Macaca mulatta: one gene and its partner. The protein of the gene in region 1 interacts with the protein of each later gene in a pairwise test. Links are inferred from orthologs where the notes say so. Each region holds a gene or a part of one and is shown on either strand. Other genes may lie near its edges.

Evidence for each region.
Region 2: the proteins of keratin, type I cuticular Ha8 (region 1) and TXNDC5 interact in a two-hybrid assay, tested with the Homo sapiens proteins (2 studies listed by BioGRID and IntAct). The link is inferred for Macaca mulatta from reciprocal best matches to the Homo sapiens genes KRT38 and TXNDC5.

What each region holds. Positions count from the first base shown.
Region 1 is NC_133421.1:65,781,994-65,786,117, forward strand, and holds the start of keratin, type I cuticular Ha8, read right to left. Parts: upstream 2,867-4,124; 5' UTR 2,805-2,866; coding exon 2,313-2,804; intron 2,126-2,312; coding exon 2,043-2,125; intron 1,250-2,042; coding exon 1,093-1,249; intron 749-1,092; coding exon 587-748; intron 505-586; coding exon 379-504; intron 202-378; coding exon 1-201.
Region 2 is NC_133409.1:175,276,704-175,280,351, reverse strand, and holds part of TXNDC5 (thioredoxin domain-containing protein 5), read right to left. Parts: intron 580-3,648; coding exon 430-579; intron 1-429. UniProt on the Homo sapiens protein: Protein disulfide isomerase of the endoplasmic reticulum lumen involved in the formation of disulfide bonds in proteins. Can reduce insulin disulfide bonds.

The DNA of each region.
Region 1 (4,124 bases):
AAGGTTCCGATACGTGGCAATCTCATTCTCCAGCCGAGCCTTCACGTCCAGCAGCACCTGGTACTCCTGGTTCTGCCGCTCCAGGTCAGCCCGGATCTCGGACAGCTGCTCCTCCACGTTGCTGATGAGGCTCTGCATCTGGGCCAGCTCCGTGCCGAAGCGGTCCTCAGCTTCACACAGGGAGTTCTGCAGACAGTCCTTCTGTAGTGGGAAATAAGGGGATAAAATGTGCAAGGGCCCCAGGGAAACTGCTACATGCTCCAAATTTTGATGGTGATAACAGGTGGGAGAAACCTGGGCGGTGAGACCTCCAAAATAAAAGGCTACTAGGCCATGGCATGGGGCATTTGCAGTGCAGTGAGGGTGAAGGACACATACCAAGGTGTGCTGGGCTTGGCGCTCCACCTCCAGGGCATTCACCGTGCATCTCAGCTCCAGGATCTCCGACTGGCAGCACTGCAGCTCCTCAGAGCAGGACATGGCCTGCAGGCTGATGCCTTCAGACTAGAGCACAGAGAGACATAGTCACCTCCCTGCCCAGATGGAGGCCAGGTACTCTCCAGCTCTGTACCCACCCCTCGTTCACCTGGGCTTGGAACCACTGTTCTACATCCTGGCGGTTGGTCTCCACCATGGCCTCGTACTGAGCCCGCATCTCCCCCAGCACCCTGTTCAGGTCAATGGTGGGCTCAATGTCCAGCTCAATCCGGAGCTTCTCCCCCAGTTGACTCCTCAGAATCTTTACTTCCTGCAGAAAGGAGGAAGGGACAGACAGCCTGTGTGAAGAGAGGACCTTTGATGGAGCAGACAGCACCAGGACCCTGACCCTGCAAGCAGTGGGAGGGGAGTCCCACACACAAGCAAATGGGAAAGTCTTGCTGAGAGTGCAGTGGGGAGAGCCCACCTGGACACCTTCCTCGTGCCCAAGGCAAGTCTGCACTTTCCACAGAGGCCCTCTGGACCCTCAGACCCCCCTCAGTCCTGCATCCTGATACCAGCTGAGCCCAGACAATGCTCTGAGAGCCCCGGGGCCAGGGAGCTCCCCTGTCTGCCCAGCACCCTCCCCGGGAGTCTGAGCAGCCAGGGCCACACCTGCTCATGGTTGCTCTTGAGGGACAGCTGCTCCTCCTTCAGGGACTCCTGCTGGGCCTCCAGGTCAGCCTTGGCCAGGGTCGCGTCATCCAGGAGCTTCTGCGTCCCACACTGGTCCGCCTCTACCAGCTGGCGTAGGGAGCGCTCACTCTCCAGCCTTCCATCACGGGAGGTACAGGGTCAACAAGAATGCCCCAAGAGCCCCTCTCGGCTGCCCTGCCTTCCTACCTCCCACACCACCTTGGATCCTCATTTGTTCACTGTTTAGCCCTCTGGCCTCGAAGGTGAATTAGACACAGCCCCCCTTCTCAAAGAGCTCATGGTCTAATGAAGCAATCACAACACTACATTGCACAATATACATTTTTGCCATTGTATTCTGTGGCAACTGCAGTTCAGGAAGATGAACTGACTTGCCTAAGATCATGCATCTTGGGACCAACACTCGTGCCATTGCGGGGACTGTCAGTTACCAAAGATAAGCAATAGCCAGGTGCCTGATCGTGATCTGCGGCTCCTTATGCCTTACTTTTCAGCTGTCTTCCCCTCTCTCATTTTTGCCTAGGTACCTTATGCCTGGTACCTTAGGGCTCCATAATTAAATCTGAACAAAGACTCATCTGTAAACGACTTCTCTGACTTATATATGAAACCCAATGGCTGTCTTGCTCAGTTCATCCTTGAAATCCCCTCATTTTGCTCCTGGTGAATGAACTCAGGCTCCCTTATCCTCCATTTTAGGGAAATAAATGAAGGAGGACAAACATATATGCTTGGATTAATGAGGAGTTTTCCCTTCCATCTTTCATCAGCTTTGATTGTAATGAAAATTTTACTGTGGAGAATCTAGCAAGGAAGACAGGACAAACATTCACTCACTCAACAAGTATTTGGGCACTGGGATGGAGGGTGGGGAGGGAGTCACCCTGGCCCTCCTCCACCTGACTTACTTGATCCTAAAGTCATCGGCAGCCAGCTTAGCATTGTCAATTTGTACAATCAGCCTGGCATTCTCGGCCTTGCTGCACAGGATCTGAGGAAAACGGAAAGACGGTTCACACACAAAGCATCATACTCTAAGCTCCCACTCCACGTGTGGTGTCTACGCTCATGTCCAAGAGAAACCAAGAACCCAAAGCTCTCTGGACCTTATGTGGATTCCTCCTGCGAAGGCTTCTGCCTTCTCAGACCCAGCACGCCCAAGTGATCCCACACCTCACCTTCTGCTGGAGCTCCTCGATGGTGCGGAAGTAGGACTGGTAGTCCGGGCACACAGTGGACTCGTGGCACTTGCTCCTCTCGAGGAGTGTGGCCTCCAGCTCCGCGTTCTCCCGCTCCAGCTGGCGCACCTTCTCCAGGTAGTTGGCCAGGCGGTCGTTCAGGAACTGCATGGTCTCCTTCTCATGGCCATTCAGGGTGTTTTCACCATAGGCCCCACAGATTCCAATGTTGCCAGGAATGTGACAGGTCCCTGGCAAGGGACAAGCATTGTGGCAGGTTGGGGGCAGGCAGAGGCTGGGGCGGCCCAGGGGAGTCGACCCCACGCGGACTCGGTTGGCATGTGCCACGTTGGCCAAAAGGCACATGGGGGCAACGTTGGCCTCTGCCCCGGGCTGGCACCCAACGTCGATGGGAGAGACAGAGACATTTCTTGCTCCAGGAGCCATGGTGCAAACCAGAGGGCATGAGGAGCTGCTGTAGGAGGAGGTCATGGTGTAGGGCTGAGACTGCACAGGAGCTTCAGATCAGCTGGGAACGCCGAGCCACTGAGACTGAGGTCTCCTCTCCTCCCAGCCCTTTTATACCCCGTCCTGGGTGGGTGTTGGCTCCAATGCTTTGACCTCCTGCCTTGATTATCTACCTGTTGTGGTGCCATCATCCTGTTACTCAGCTGCTGAGTTTACCATGAAAAGTTTCTCAGCTCATTAAAGGAATGTTGACGAATCTGAGATGCCTCTTGGCTCTTTGAAATCAGGTTGGCTGCTGGTGGGAGGTCAGAAGGTTTTTATTATTTTTCAAAGAAGCAAAGTTATTTTAGCCATCAGATGCTTAGACCTTGACTGGGTTTGGCCTCTTTATGGATGTCTCCACTCTGGAGACACAAACTTTCCTGTTGGTCAGTGGTGTAGCAGGAGGACTAACCCTTGTAATGGCAATGGTTCTCACTTGGGTTAAGACTCAACCAGCCTTCCCTATCCAAGGAAGAAACTAAGTCTTGGTATTGGTGGATGTTACGGCCTTGGGTTATCAAGAAGTCCTACATTTCTTCTTTCTTTAGTTGGTTGCCTTTCAGACTCACTTTGAGGAGCAACAAGACTTAGATGAATCCATTCACTCAACACACATCCCCTAGCTATGTCCCATTTGTCAGGCACCTTGCTGACACTTGACATATAGTTGGTTAAGCACAGAACAGTTCCTGTCATTGGGGAACAACTGTAACTTGGATAGATGTGATGTTTCAAACAAGGTATCTGAGAAGCTTATGAAAATGAGGATGACTCCAAAAACCATGGCTTATCTCGACCAAGAAGGCAAGCTCAAGAAGCCAGAAAAAAACAAAAAGAAATGAGCAATAATCTTACTGAACCTCAAATAAGAACTTTGAGAAAAGAACTCATGAAAGCCAAAGAACATTGAGTGATCAGAGCCTCTGTGGGCTCTCTTCATACTTTGCTTCCTTGATTCTAAAATCAGTCATGAGCCTTCACCCTATGAGCTAGGGGATTGAGCAGTGATACCTTTTAATCTTTACTTCCAACCTGGGAGGTGGGTACTCTTAATTTTATAAAATAAATAAATAAGCCATTGAGGACAAGAGATGTGAAGTCATTTTTCTAAGATCAACCCCACTATGAAGTATAAAGCCTATTCTCAACATCAGCTTCTTTCAACTGCAGAAGCTATTTCTTCACCTTGACTACCACCAAATCTCCCACCCCCAAGGATAACTACTGTGTCATTGCTAGAACTAAGAAGGATTCAAAGGCCTAGAAACCAGGCAAGAAGTTGAAGTGAAGATGTAAAACAAA
Region 2 (3,648 bases), on another chromosome or scaffold:
TCAAGGAAGTAAGTATCATCGTCTGTCAGACTCTATACTTCTTTCCAACAGAAACAGCCCTGTGGGAGTCACACGGGAAGGAACTATAGGAAGGGTGTTTGCGAATAAGAGTCACTAGAACAAGCAAGCCAAAATTGATGACAGTCTACGCACACTGTGTAAAATGTACCAGTGAACATCTAGCATGGCGGGGCCACCATTTTCGTCTTGCAAACACATTCTCTTATAAACACGAAAACCCAACACTGATGAATTAAAGGTTATCCAGAGTACGAAAGGCATCTGAAATAGACACAGCGTTAAATGCAATTTCTCCCTAATGACAGGGACTGCCTCCTTAAATTTAGTATCTCTTCACTCCTTTACCAAAAGTTTAGGACCTTCTTTGTAACCAGGAACCACCTGGGAACCACCTTTCTTCCGACTTACGTGGGGTATCCTCGCACTCCCTGGGCGGAGCACACATCGGAGTGGGCCGTGCAGTCCACTTTAGCCACATAGACTTTGGCATCTTCCATGCTGTTATATTTGTCTCCCAGGTCATTCCAAGTTGGCTGCAGCCGCTGGCAGTGTCCACACCTGGAACAAAGCAAGAGCACAAGTGCACTGAGTACCAGCTCACAGGGCAGCTGGCCCACAATTTCAGCCCTGTCCAGGAGGCAATGGGGCTCTCAGTCCTTTCTTTACACCACTGCAGATGGCAGCTCCTGGACCAGTACTCCAGGACCTCTCTCCCCTGCTCCCTCCCCTCCAGAGTCGCTGCCCTGTTCTCAGCATGAAACCTCGGCCCTGTGCCAGCATTAAACCCAGCAGAGTGTTGTTCTGGATCCTACTTGTTCTGGCCCTGCTGACTTCCCACTTGACTTCTATTCCAGAGTCCACCCTCCTTCCCTTGCGGCCTAGTCCTGAGCCCTACTGCAGCATCTGCAGTGTTCCCAAAGGGCTATCGCTTGGTTTGGCCCTGGGACACGTTCTCTGACACTTCCTCTGTAAACTCCACCTAACTAAATCTACCCGCCCTTCAGGTAGATTGGGTGTCACCTCCTCCAGCAAGTCTGCCCTGACTCCCCGGGCCATTCAGTGCCCGTTCTCTTCTCCTGCCCTTCTGGAAAGCCCCTCTACTCCTCCCTTGACAGTAGCTTAGCACCTCCTGCCGTATCTGCTACTTTTACTCACAAACCAAACAGCGACAAATACAAGGCAATCTCAAAATTTACTCAATTGCAATTTTCTCCAATGAGGAGGAAAAAAAAATTTGTGGCCACCTAAACTTCTAGGGTTGAAGTAAGCAAACGTCTATAGTATTTATTGTATGAATTCAGTTATGTACAAATAGTTTTAAATCACCTATCATTTAAAAGAGTATATTAATTAGGCTTCTTCCGTGCTTCACATTTCACGAGGATATCAGCATCTTTCCCAACACTAGATCTTGAGTCCTACAGCTGACCACAGCTCTTCCCGCATTCTCAGGACAGTATGTCCACAGTGCCATACCTGAATTTTTAATGAGACAACCCTAGAAACTTTATCCCAAGTTTCAACTACAATCCCATAGCATGATGACACATGGATTTGTTATTTAATATGGTAGGAATACACTGATGCCTACAATATAACCACTTTGCTGTATCGCTTTTTTAAATGCTTTTTTTTTTAAATAAAAACACTTGCTTATAAGAACACCCAACGCTTAGAATTGTGACTTCTTCCTCAAAATAATTTAATAATCTCTGTTAAATCTTTTTTATTTTCTGACAGATTACCTCAAAAATAAGCATTTAAGTTGGATCCAGTGGCTCATGCCTGTAATCCCAGCACTTTGGGAGGCTAAGACAGGAGAACTGCTTGAGCCCAGGGGTTCAAGACTGGCCTGGACAACACAGCAAGACCCCCCCATCTACAAAAAGTTTTTAAAAATTAGCCTGGTGTGGTGGCACACACCTGCAGTCCTAGCTACTTGGGAGGCTGAGGCAGAAGGATCACTTGAGGCCAGGAGTTTGAGGCTGCAGTGAGCTATGATCACACCACTGCACTCCAGCCTGAGTGACAGAGTGAGATTTTGTCTCTTAAGAAGAAAAGGATTCAAGCCAGGCGCGGTGGCTCACACCTGTAATCCCAGCACTCTGGGAAGCCAAAGCTGGTGGATCACGAGGTCAGGAGTTTGAGACTAGCCTGACCAACATGGTGAAACCCCATCTCTACTAAAAATACAAAAATTAGCTGGGCGTGGTGGCACGCACCTATAATCCCAGCTACTCAAGAAGCTGAGGCAGGAGAAGAATCGCTTGAACCTGGGAGGTGGAAGTTTGCAGTGAGCTGAGATCATGCCATTGCACTCTAGCCTGGGCAACACAGCAAGACTCCCGTCTCAAAAAAAAAAAAACAAAAGAAAAGAAAAAAAAGGATTTAAAAGTAGCACTGAAAAAGTCTGCCTCAAGATAATGTTTCTTCCCTAAACAGCACTTTCTTGGCCAACTAAGAGAATCCCTGCTTTATGAGACACTCAGATACAAAAAAAAAAAAAAGCACAGTGAAACTATACATACAGATTTAACTTCTGTAGATTCAACAAAGTGAGTTTGTGTGGCGGAGAGAAGGAAACAAGAAAAAAAGGCAATTCCCACAGAACCCTAACGTGTGTGCAAGCTGGGAGATGTGAGGTTTTTGTTCTTCAGCTGGTCTTGGTTCCTGCGTGCTTCTCATGGCATGAGCATTTCTCTGACTATATTAAGCGTGACCTGCCGTCTAAAGACAGGTTTGAGAACTAGTCCATCGGTGTTTAACCAAAGCAGCCATGATAGTTCTAATGCTGGAGGAAACGCTGGCAGTGAGGACTTACTGACTGACTGGGGCGGTGTCCAACAAGGTACCTTCCTAAGGGACTGTCAAGGGCAGTTCTGACCCTAGGGGACTTTGATCAGTTATGCTCATTCTGGAACTTTAGAACTCCTCTGCAATCTTGACGAGGTTTTGTTGTGTTACCGTGTTTTGTTTTGTTTTGTTTTTTGTTTTTTTTTGTGTGTGAAAACACAAGATTAGATTAAGAATGAGAATAAACAATAAGTAAGTTTGTGCTACACTAAATCAAAACTGACCTTTCTGGGCCATCACCAAGTTGGATGTGCCCTTGCTCCTGGCAGTGATGGGGCCACAGGTGCTATCTAGTTGGCCCTGTGGCTACAGCACCCAGCTCTGAGACAGACAGCTGCATTCACAAAGAAGCCTGTGGCCAAGAAGTAGAGCAAAGCTACCTGGTCCAAATCTTGACCTCACTGTCACCAGGTTCGGGGTGACTCACAAACTAGCCATACAGAAGCTGTGACCGGATGTTGGCACAAAATCTACAGCAGTAGGACAACCCTGCAGCTGCCAAGCTTAGGGCAAAAATACACAGATCAATGTTTTTGTTACAGGGGCTCCCGCCCCTTAATCACACGTGGGCTTTCACCATTTGACGGCAGCAGAAACTGGAAAAAGGTATGTGTGTTGAGGGGGAGTCCACTGAGTATTCTATCTGAGGTCTAAAGGCTCAGCTGACCACTCCAGGACCTCCTTCCCTCCCCTGCAAAGGCCCCTCCAGAGTCACCACCTTGTTCTCAGCATTACACTTATTAAGCTGTTGTTCCAGGTATTGTTGGTCCTACT